Linked DNA regions of Solanum lycopersicum. The protein of the gene in region 1 interacts with the protein of each later gene in a pairwise test. Links are inferred from orthologs where the notes say so. Each region holds a gene or a part of one and is shown on either strand. Other genes may lie near its edges.

What was found.
Region 2: the proteins of golgin candidate 5 (region 1) and ras-related protein RABH1b interact in a two-hybrid assay, tested with the Arabidopsis thaliana proteins (2 studies listed by BioGRID, with this or other methods). The link is inferred for Solanum lycopersicum from reciprocal best matches to the Arabidopsis thaliana genes GC5 and RAB6A.

The regions. Positions count from the first base shown.
Region 1 is NC_090805.1:44,311,234-44,315,056, reverse strand, and holds part of golgin candidate 5, read left to right. Parts: coding exon 1-877; intron 878-1,777; coding exon 1,778-1,849; intron 1,850-3,014; coding exon 3,015-3,089; intron 3,090-3,823. UniProt on the Arabidopsis thaliana protein: Golgi matrix protein playing a role in tethering of vesicles to Golgi membranes and in maintaining the overall structure of the Golgi apparatus.
Region 2 is NC_090800.1:79,113,137-79,117,684, reverse strand, and holds the start of ras-related protein RABH1b, read left to right. Parts: upstream 1-1,448; 5' UTR 1,449-1,801; coding exon 1,802-1,918; intron 1,919-3,058; coding exon 3,059-3,129; intron 3,130-3,754; coding exon 3,755-3,843; intron 3,844-3,996; coding exon 3,997-4,108; intron 4,109-4,548. UniProt on the Arabidopsis thaliana protein: Protein transport. Regulator of membrane traffic from the Golgi apparatus towards the endoplasmic reticulum (ER). Binds GTP and GDP and possesses intrinsic GTPase activity.

The DNA.
Region 1 (3,823 bases):
CATTATTGAAGAAACTAAATCGGTTCAAGAACCTATTGAAGAAGCAAAGGATGTTGATGCGAAACCAAATCAAATGATATCTGCTGAAGAAGAAACTGAGGAGGCAAGAGCTGTTGATGTCCAACTGAATTCTTCTACGGAACCAAGTTTTGATCAGGAGGAACAAAGAAGTGTTACTGGGCCAGATGAAAGAAAAGCTGAAATTAATTCACTGGCAGAAGCATCGAAGGTCAATGAGCTTGATCAGGAAACATCTCCAGGAATCCTCCAAAAGAATATTCCAGAGCGAGAATCATCTGAAAACCTCGAGTTGGTTGTTTCCCAATCATCAAATGCTTTATCTCAAACTGAAGTTGGTATCCCGCTGCTTGTTGATTCAAAGGAAAATACTGGTAATGATGGGGAACAGAAGAAAGAAGTCACTGAGGAATCTCCTCCTGTTCAATTAGAGGATGCATCAAATTACCCTACAGACAGGGAACAGAAGAAAGAAGTCACCATGGAATCTCCTTCAGCTGAATCACGGGATGCATCAAGTGACCGAGCAGATAGTGGAAGACCTTCTGTTTCAGATTCTGTAACTGCCAGCGAAGGTGAAAGTCTTGAAGAGCATTCTAACAGGAGCTTTCTTGGTGACCAGCACACTGATGAAGGTCTGAAGAAGCTATCTGATACAGTTATGCCTGAAAATGAGTTGGTTAGTATACCTGTGGAGGCTACCCAGCGAGGAAATGATCAGGAGACTGGTGTGAAAGAACGGTTGAGCTCCGGAAGCAACTCTTCAGATGTTACCAATTCAGTGGTTGAACTGGAGAAGCTGAAAAAGGAAATGAAAATGATGGAAACTGCATTACAAGGAGCTGCTAGACAAGCTCAGGTATGTCCATATGCTACTTTAATGGAAATTTATGCACCTTCTGCTCCTCAGCATCAGTGGAACATTTCTGAATCTACTGACGTTACTTGAGAATATGAATCTTTTGTTGTATGCACCTATAGTAGGCGAGTCCAATAATTCACGTTGTATTACCTAAGATTAGCTGAAATCTGAATCCCACTCATCCTCAATAATTTCTCCCAACTTGTGTGGTCATGGATAAAAGTTGCTTCAATGAGTTGATTTTGACTAAAAGTAGCTTCAATTAAAGAAGTTCTGATTTGAAGTGTGTGTGTCATTGACACATCCCATTGATATTGTCTTGTACTTCTCAAATGACATAGTTTACGTTCTTGAGGTCTCAAATGTCTGAACACATGGATATCTTTTCCATAGTCCGTGGATCCTTTCTGAAGTTGTGGAATCCGTTGGCAAGGATGTTGGTATACGCCTAAAGATGATTGGACCGTGTAGCAGCTTCATACGTTTAATTGCAATTATCCCTTTATTATTATGCAGCATTATTCCAAAGCCAATAAATATATTTAAGGATTCTGGGTGATTGGAACTAATTCTCCCATCATGTATGAACTTCGCAATATCTTCCTGTTATGCCTCAAACTTAGAGGGAAGCTTGGACCGTGTAGCAGCTTCATACGTTTAATTGCAATTATCCCTTTATTATTATGCAGCAAGATTATTCCAAAGACAATAAATATATTTAAGGATTTTGGGTGATTGGAACTAATTTCTTCCATTATGTATGAACTTCTCAATATCTTCCTGTCATGCCACAAACTTGAAAAAAAATTCAGTTGGTGTGTTAGACCCCTTATTTTCAGTTCTTGTTTATAAAATGATGAACACTCAACAAGATGACATGTCATTGTTTTTCCTCAGGCTAAAGCTGATGAAATAGCGAAGTTGATGAATGAGAACGAGCAATTGAAGGCTGTTACTGAGGATCTGAGAGTAAGTTCTCATCATTTTGAAGTTCCTTTCGAGGCTGTTAATTCAATTTGTTGCTGTCCGCTAGTTTTTGAAATGGCATGAGTCAAAGACATACTATAGTTCCCATTGTTTCAGGATGAATTTACCATCTCATAAATTAGATTTCTAGTGTTGTTTTTCTGCTTGTTATTGCAGAACATTTCTTTCTCTTCTGCCCTTGCTTGCAATTTTCTTCTAGATAAGTTAATCTTGCATGTGAGCCAGATATTGTGTAAGCTTCTGTGCTGACTGGTCGAGTCATCTTAACTACCACCTAATTTGTTAAGCACTTTTTAATGAACATCATCAATAATCAGACTTCTCTTGACTAGATGCGTGTAGATCAGGAAGAATCGCTTCTGTTGCATAATTTCATATGACTCTCATCATTGATGATTTTGATTTAACTGCTTTCACATCAATACACGTTGCATTTTCTCTTATACAAATTCTAGCTTCTGTCCTGTTTGTTAGATGACTTGTGCTTCGTATGCTCTTCTATTCTCTCAGAACTGCTAGTTTCCTGTATCAATTTAAGTACAGAATGTTTCGGGGTGGCCCAGTGGTTTGGGCTTGGAATTTTTATGTTGGAGGTCTCAAGTGCGAAACCTCTTGCCAGCGAAAGCAAGGGGTTTGCCTTCAGGGTTGAGCTCGTCGCACCGGGCTTGGCTAGTGCGGGTTACCTCTCCTATGTTGTTTGCGAGCTATTGCATGTGGGTGGGGGTGGGGGGTGGGGGTGGGGGTTTACCCTGTGCGCACCTAAAGGATAGTGGCTGTGAGTTTCCCTTGTCATAAAAAAAAAAAGTTATCCCTGCAAGCAATTATTCTGTTGTTCATTTTATCTTCCTTTAGTATTAATATCATATGTGTAATTGGATCTTTATTGCTGCTGGGTGGGATCAGCGTAGCACGTGCCAATGGATGTGTGTTTTGTAATGGATAATGGATCGAAACTTTAGTTAACTCTTTTGTTAATTTTATTTAAATTGGTGAGTTCCAATGCACTTTTTAAAACTTTTTTCTAATTCCCCATCCCCACAGCGTTCCTCTTATGTGTACGTTAGGTTCATCTTTCATCCCTCATAATTCCCTTCTAAGTGAAACTCCACCAATATTATATCTCTTGCTTACACACTAATTTTTACAGAGGAAGTCCAGTGATGCAGCAATTGAATCTCTGCGAGAAGAGTACCATCAAAAAGTTTCTGCTCTTGAGAGGAAGGTATGAATGTGTTCACATGAATGTTTCAGCTTAAACTTCCATTGCTAAGTGCTTGCTTTATGTCTTGATCATCAGCCTTTTCACATCATAACAGTAGCATAAATTCTTGAAAGACAGTTTATTTGAGCTTTCACATTGTTGCATAGTTTTTCTACTTCATTTAGGCATCACTACAATGTGCAGCTTCAGCTTTTATGTGTATAACTTCATATTTTATGCTTGCTGGTTCTGTATAACGCTTGATGGTTTCTTACACTTTTAGTTTTTCAATGGTTCTAATAGACTCTAAGGATGCAGGATTATCTTGTTGAGCTGTAATGGGTCGAACCCCTTTAGTGTCAATAAGACCTTATTAACTACATATATGAATTGGGACGGGGAGCTTGACCCTCGAAAATCTGTATACTTCCACAGGAGAACATTCTTTGGAGAAACTCCATACCCTTCTTTTAGAGTTCTTGCTCTTGTAAAAAAAAGTAGAAGCATCTTTTATATGCTGCACATACATGATATTGACAGAAGAAGAGAAACATTCTGTGTTGGCTGGTAATATTCCATCTTTTCCGATTTCATTAAATTTTTTGAAGAAATTGCACCATCCTTCCCGCATCTCTATTTACTGCTGAAACCTCATGTCTACTACTTCCTAAAATTGCAGTTCCCCAGTTTGTTTTTTTAAAGAAAATCCTCCTGTACTATCAGTCATTGAGGGCTCTTCTAAACAAGAAATTCCA
Region 2 (4,548 bases), on another chromosome or scaffold:
TGTACTATTTCAATCTCCATCTGTTTATATAAAGACTTGTCTTTACTTTTTGAGACAGTCTAGTTTCGGTGGTCCACTGTTGGGACTTGTACTCGTTTTGTTGGTACCTCTGTATTAGTGACTTTCAGGTTCTGGGAGGGATCCTTTATTGTATTTATGTTTTGGTTTGCTTATGTTGTTATAGTAAATTTTCTTAGTCTTGTTTAGTTTCTACCCTCACACCCAGTATGTGTGGTTCTGGGTTGTGGTTTGGCTTACCTATTGATGGTTATAGTAGGTGCCTTCATGGCTCGAGAAATTGGGTCGTGACATTTATCGACGAATAAGAGTTGTGACACACGCTTGTGTTTAATCTTCCGTTAGAGTGAATGACATATATGCTCTAGTTTTTGGACAGTAGATGCACCAATGTCCCAAAAAATATGACAGAGAATATCTGCATACCATTTACGATAGTTCGAGTTATATTTATCTTTTTTTCCTTCTAGTTATATGAAATTAATTGTTTTAAAAATAAATTAACAAGAAAATATGTTACATCAATTGCATAGAACAGTTATTATTTTACCAATTTACATTTTAGGAGGATTATTGATTTCAACTTCTCTCTTTGTGAATCTTTTTTTTGTTTCAATCTTCAAAATTATGTTTTTATACATAAATGGTATTTCTATTTTTGTGAAAGGTAAAAATATATTTGTAATTAATCGAAATACATATTTCAAGATTACTCAAATAAAATTCATTGTAATATTTTGAATAATTATACTCTTTGAATTGTTCCTTTATTGTTGATAATATGTGTTCTTCTTTTTAACACTTCTATTTTTCTTTCGGTCCAATCTTATTAGATAAATATTTATGACAGAAAAGAGTTAATAACATCGGGATAATCTTTAAAAAAGCACACTCGTATTTTGAAAAATAAATAAATAAGCCAAACTTTTTATATTATATCATATGCTCACCAAAATAGTTTTGAAATGCAATCTTTTTTTATAAAAATTATTCCATTATAAAGGGTAAGAAAGGAAAGATAAAAGTATTTAGGGTGACCATGAAAATTGAAGCTGAATTTACTGTATCAAAAAATTTCAAAGTTCAAACAATATCAGTAAAAGGAGAAGATCGTTTCATATGACAATGAGGAATGATCATATATGTAGGCTAGCAAGCTGATTCAACAAATTCCAACGGTAAGAAAAAAATCAATAGAGATTAATATTGGATCTTATGTAATATCTACGTAAATATATTTAATAAAAATAAAGTTGAATAGTATAGAAAAAATTATAATTTAAAGGGAAATATTGATATCATTTAATTAAAAATAATAAGAGTGAGGATATAAAAGTTATTGTGAAAAATAAAAATATGCCAAAAATTGAGTAATAAAAAAAAGAACTATAGGGTAAATATGTTTTTTTTTTTAAAAAAAAAGAAAACGAAAAAAAAAGTACAAAATGTGTAAAAGAGGAACATGAATACACCGAAAAGGAATTCTTAAAAAAATTTATGAGAGCCAGCAAATCACCACAATGCAACCATGTTACTGAATACAGACTCCGTGTTTCGCCAAACCTATTCAAAAACACTACTCACGCGCACCGCACCCTCCCAATACACACACTCTCCCCCTCTCTGTTTCTCGCTAAAGCCCACGAATCCACACTCCCCTTTGCTCTCTCCGTGATCATTTTCCGGCGAGATCCCTGGTACTCCGTCGGAAAATCCTGATCGGATCCGCCATCTTTTTTTTTTGTTACTGGATTCAGTTTCTCGTACCGAAAGATCCAATTAGATGGCTCCGGTTTCGGCTCTCGCAAAGTACAAGCTCGTTTTCTTAGGAGATCAATCTGTCGGCAAGACCAGTATTATCACGCGATTCATGTATGATAAATTCGATAACACCTATCAGGTATACACTTTTGCTAATTCATTATTCATGTGATTCAATAACCTTTTGTTTCTGCGGATCTGTTTCTCAATTAACATTTGTCGTCTTCTTGTTGTAAGCATATTTAATTTTGCTACATAAAGACTTAATACTTATTTTTCAAGATCTTTATCTGTAAAGCACAGTTATTGACACTTTGTATGTATAATTTGCTCTTACCGAGGGAAGGTGTTTGCAGCAATGTATTGTTGCTCATATGATTTGCTTACAGTGTAATACAGATTTGAAGTCATTATAGGTCAGTCTTCTGTTTGCGGAATTTTGATTGGGTAGATTGCACTCCGGAAGTTGGTTGCCTTGTTAACTGAAGTGTTAACACATCTAATGTGAAGTAATGACACGCTTTTATTATACAATTCAGAAGAGGGATAGAGAAATGAGCATACGTTGTAGCTTATTTCCTCACTGTCTAAATAACCCAAAAAGCTTCTTGTCCGCTTCCTTGCGCATTATTGACGAGAATCCACAGGAACTTGTGGAGTGTTATGTATGTGAATGATTTACATCAAATCATGCTTGAAACTCTAGCTCTCCATTGGGACAGTCTCACGAATCCTTAAGCCTTCCAACTATATTTTTCTTCTCTTTTCTCGACAAACTATATATCTGAACTTAATGCTTTAAGTTGTGCCTACATTGATCCAGATCTTTTCTTATAGATTCTCAACTTCTTTTCTCCTCTTTTTTTTTGTGGTTGAACTGTGTCTTTCCTTCTTGTACTATGACGGAGTGTTTTGTTTGGTCTGACAGTAACATTCTTCTTATTTCGAATGTTTCTGGAACCCTATTACACTCTTAACCTTTGCAGTTAACAAATGACCTGCTTTATCTTTTTTCGTGATTTGCTGACTTTTAGACAATCATTTCATCAATCCTCAGTTCCCATGCCTTGATGGGATAGGGTTCTTTTATGTCTTTTTGATTGTGAAACTGCATGTAATCTAGACTTTCTAGTTCTTGCTTCCCCTCTTCTAGTAAAGTATTTCCATTTCAACTAACAACTCTCTCTTCTTATTCAAATTTTAGCCGGTTTACTTTTTTATTTATTCAAATAGACGATATTTTATCAAGCATCCTCATTTTATTTAATTTCTTCTTCAGGCCACAATTGGTATTGACTTCCTATCGAAGACTATGTACCTGGAAGATCGTACAGTAAGATTGCAGTTATGGTAAGATATACTTGTTGATGAGACAATGTCTCATTGTGCTCTGATCATAAAGACTGTTTTCACATTTTTAACATCTTACATTTGTGCCATGTTGTTAAGGCGTAACTACATCAATCTATTTGAGGTAGCACAATTAACAGTTCAATGTGATGTGTTGTGTTACTCTCTTTCATGAAAATGAAAAAGTGATGCAGCTATCCTTGATTATGGGTGTTAACATATATCAGGATGGAAATTGGTCAGTTTAAGTATCTTGCTAAAATAGATTTCTTAGTGGAGGCTTCAGATATAATTGCTCTTGCTTCAGTATTCCGTAGGAAAAATAAGGGGATAGTTTTTTTTTCTTATCTAGCCTTTTAATGATAGGTTCTGTTTCTCCCTTATGCCTCCCAATTGGATTTATAGTAGCTATCAAACTTTTAGCCATATTATGAAAATGCCCTGGCCTGACAAAAGTATTCTCCTCAAACCAGTTCATAGTATTAAGATTTTCTTTTGTTTTCACTTATTGGGAAAACATTTTAACTGTTGCCTGGCTTCTTGTTTGGTCATTTGATGCTGGATTTAGTATTCATTTCGCATTTTCATGCACTATAAAATTTGCCTTTTCGTGATACACTTTCAGGGATACTGCAGGTCAAGAGAGATTTAGGAGTCTCATTCCCAGCTATATTAGGGACTCCTCTGTTGCTGTCATTGTGTATGATGTTGCAAGTATGTCACATTTCAATTTTGTGCAGTTTTTTTTCGGTTCATACTCGATTTCCCGCTTATCCTTGCTTCTGGCTATATTTGCTTGGAAATGAATTACTTTGACGAGATATCCCTTGCTGAAGTTACACACTGTTTTTTCCTTGATGGTTCCAGGCAGGCAGTCCTTTTTAAACACTTCAAAGTGGATTGAGGAGGTCCGAACTGAGAGGGGCAGTGACGTTATTATTGTCCTTGTTGGTAACAAAACCGATCTTGTTGAGAAAAGGTAGCAGTAACTTGTTCATTCTCGTTTTCCTTTTCCTTTTTGGAGGGCGTGAGGGTGAGTGAGACTTTCTTTTTTGATGTTTTAGCAACTTTTCTGCTAAATACCAGAACATTTGCTCCTGAAGGGGCTAAAAACACAACCAATATTAGAACAATGTCTTCAAAAGCAAATCATGAAAAAGTGCAAATAAAGCGAGGCTTAAACGTTGAAAGATGCCAATGAAGAAAAAAATATAAATACATATCTTATTTAAGGATAATACCTGGAAACTCAAAATACTGATACATCAGTGGTGGAGCCAGAAATTTCAAGAAGAGTGTCTACGATTTGTTTGGACAAATGAGTGTACTAAAAATTTTAAAATGTGAAAAAAAGAATTTGTTGCTTTTGAAATTCGAACACATGACCACTTTAATTTCGAGTGTCTTGGCTCTTTCAAG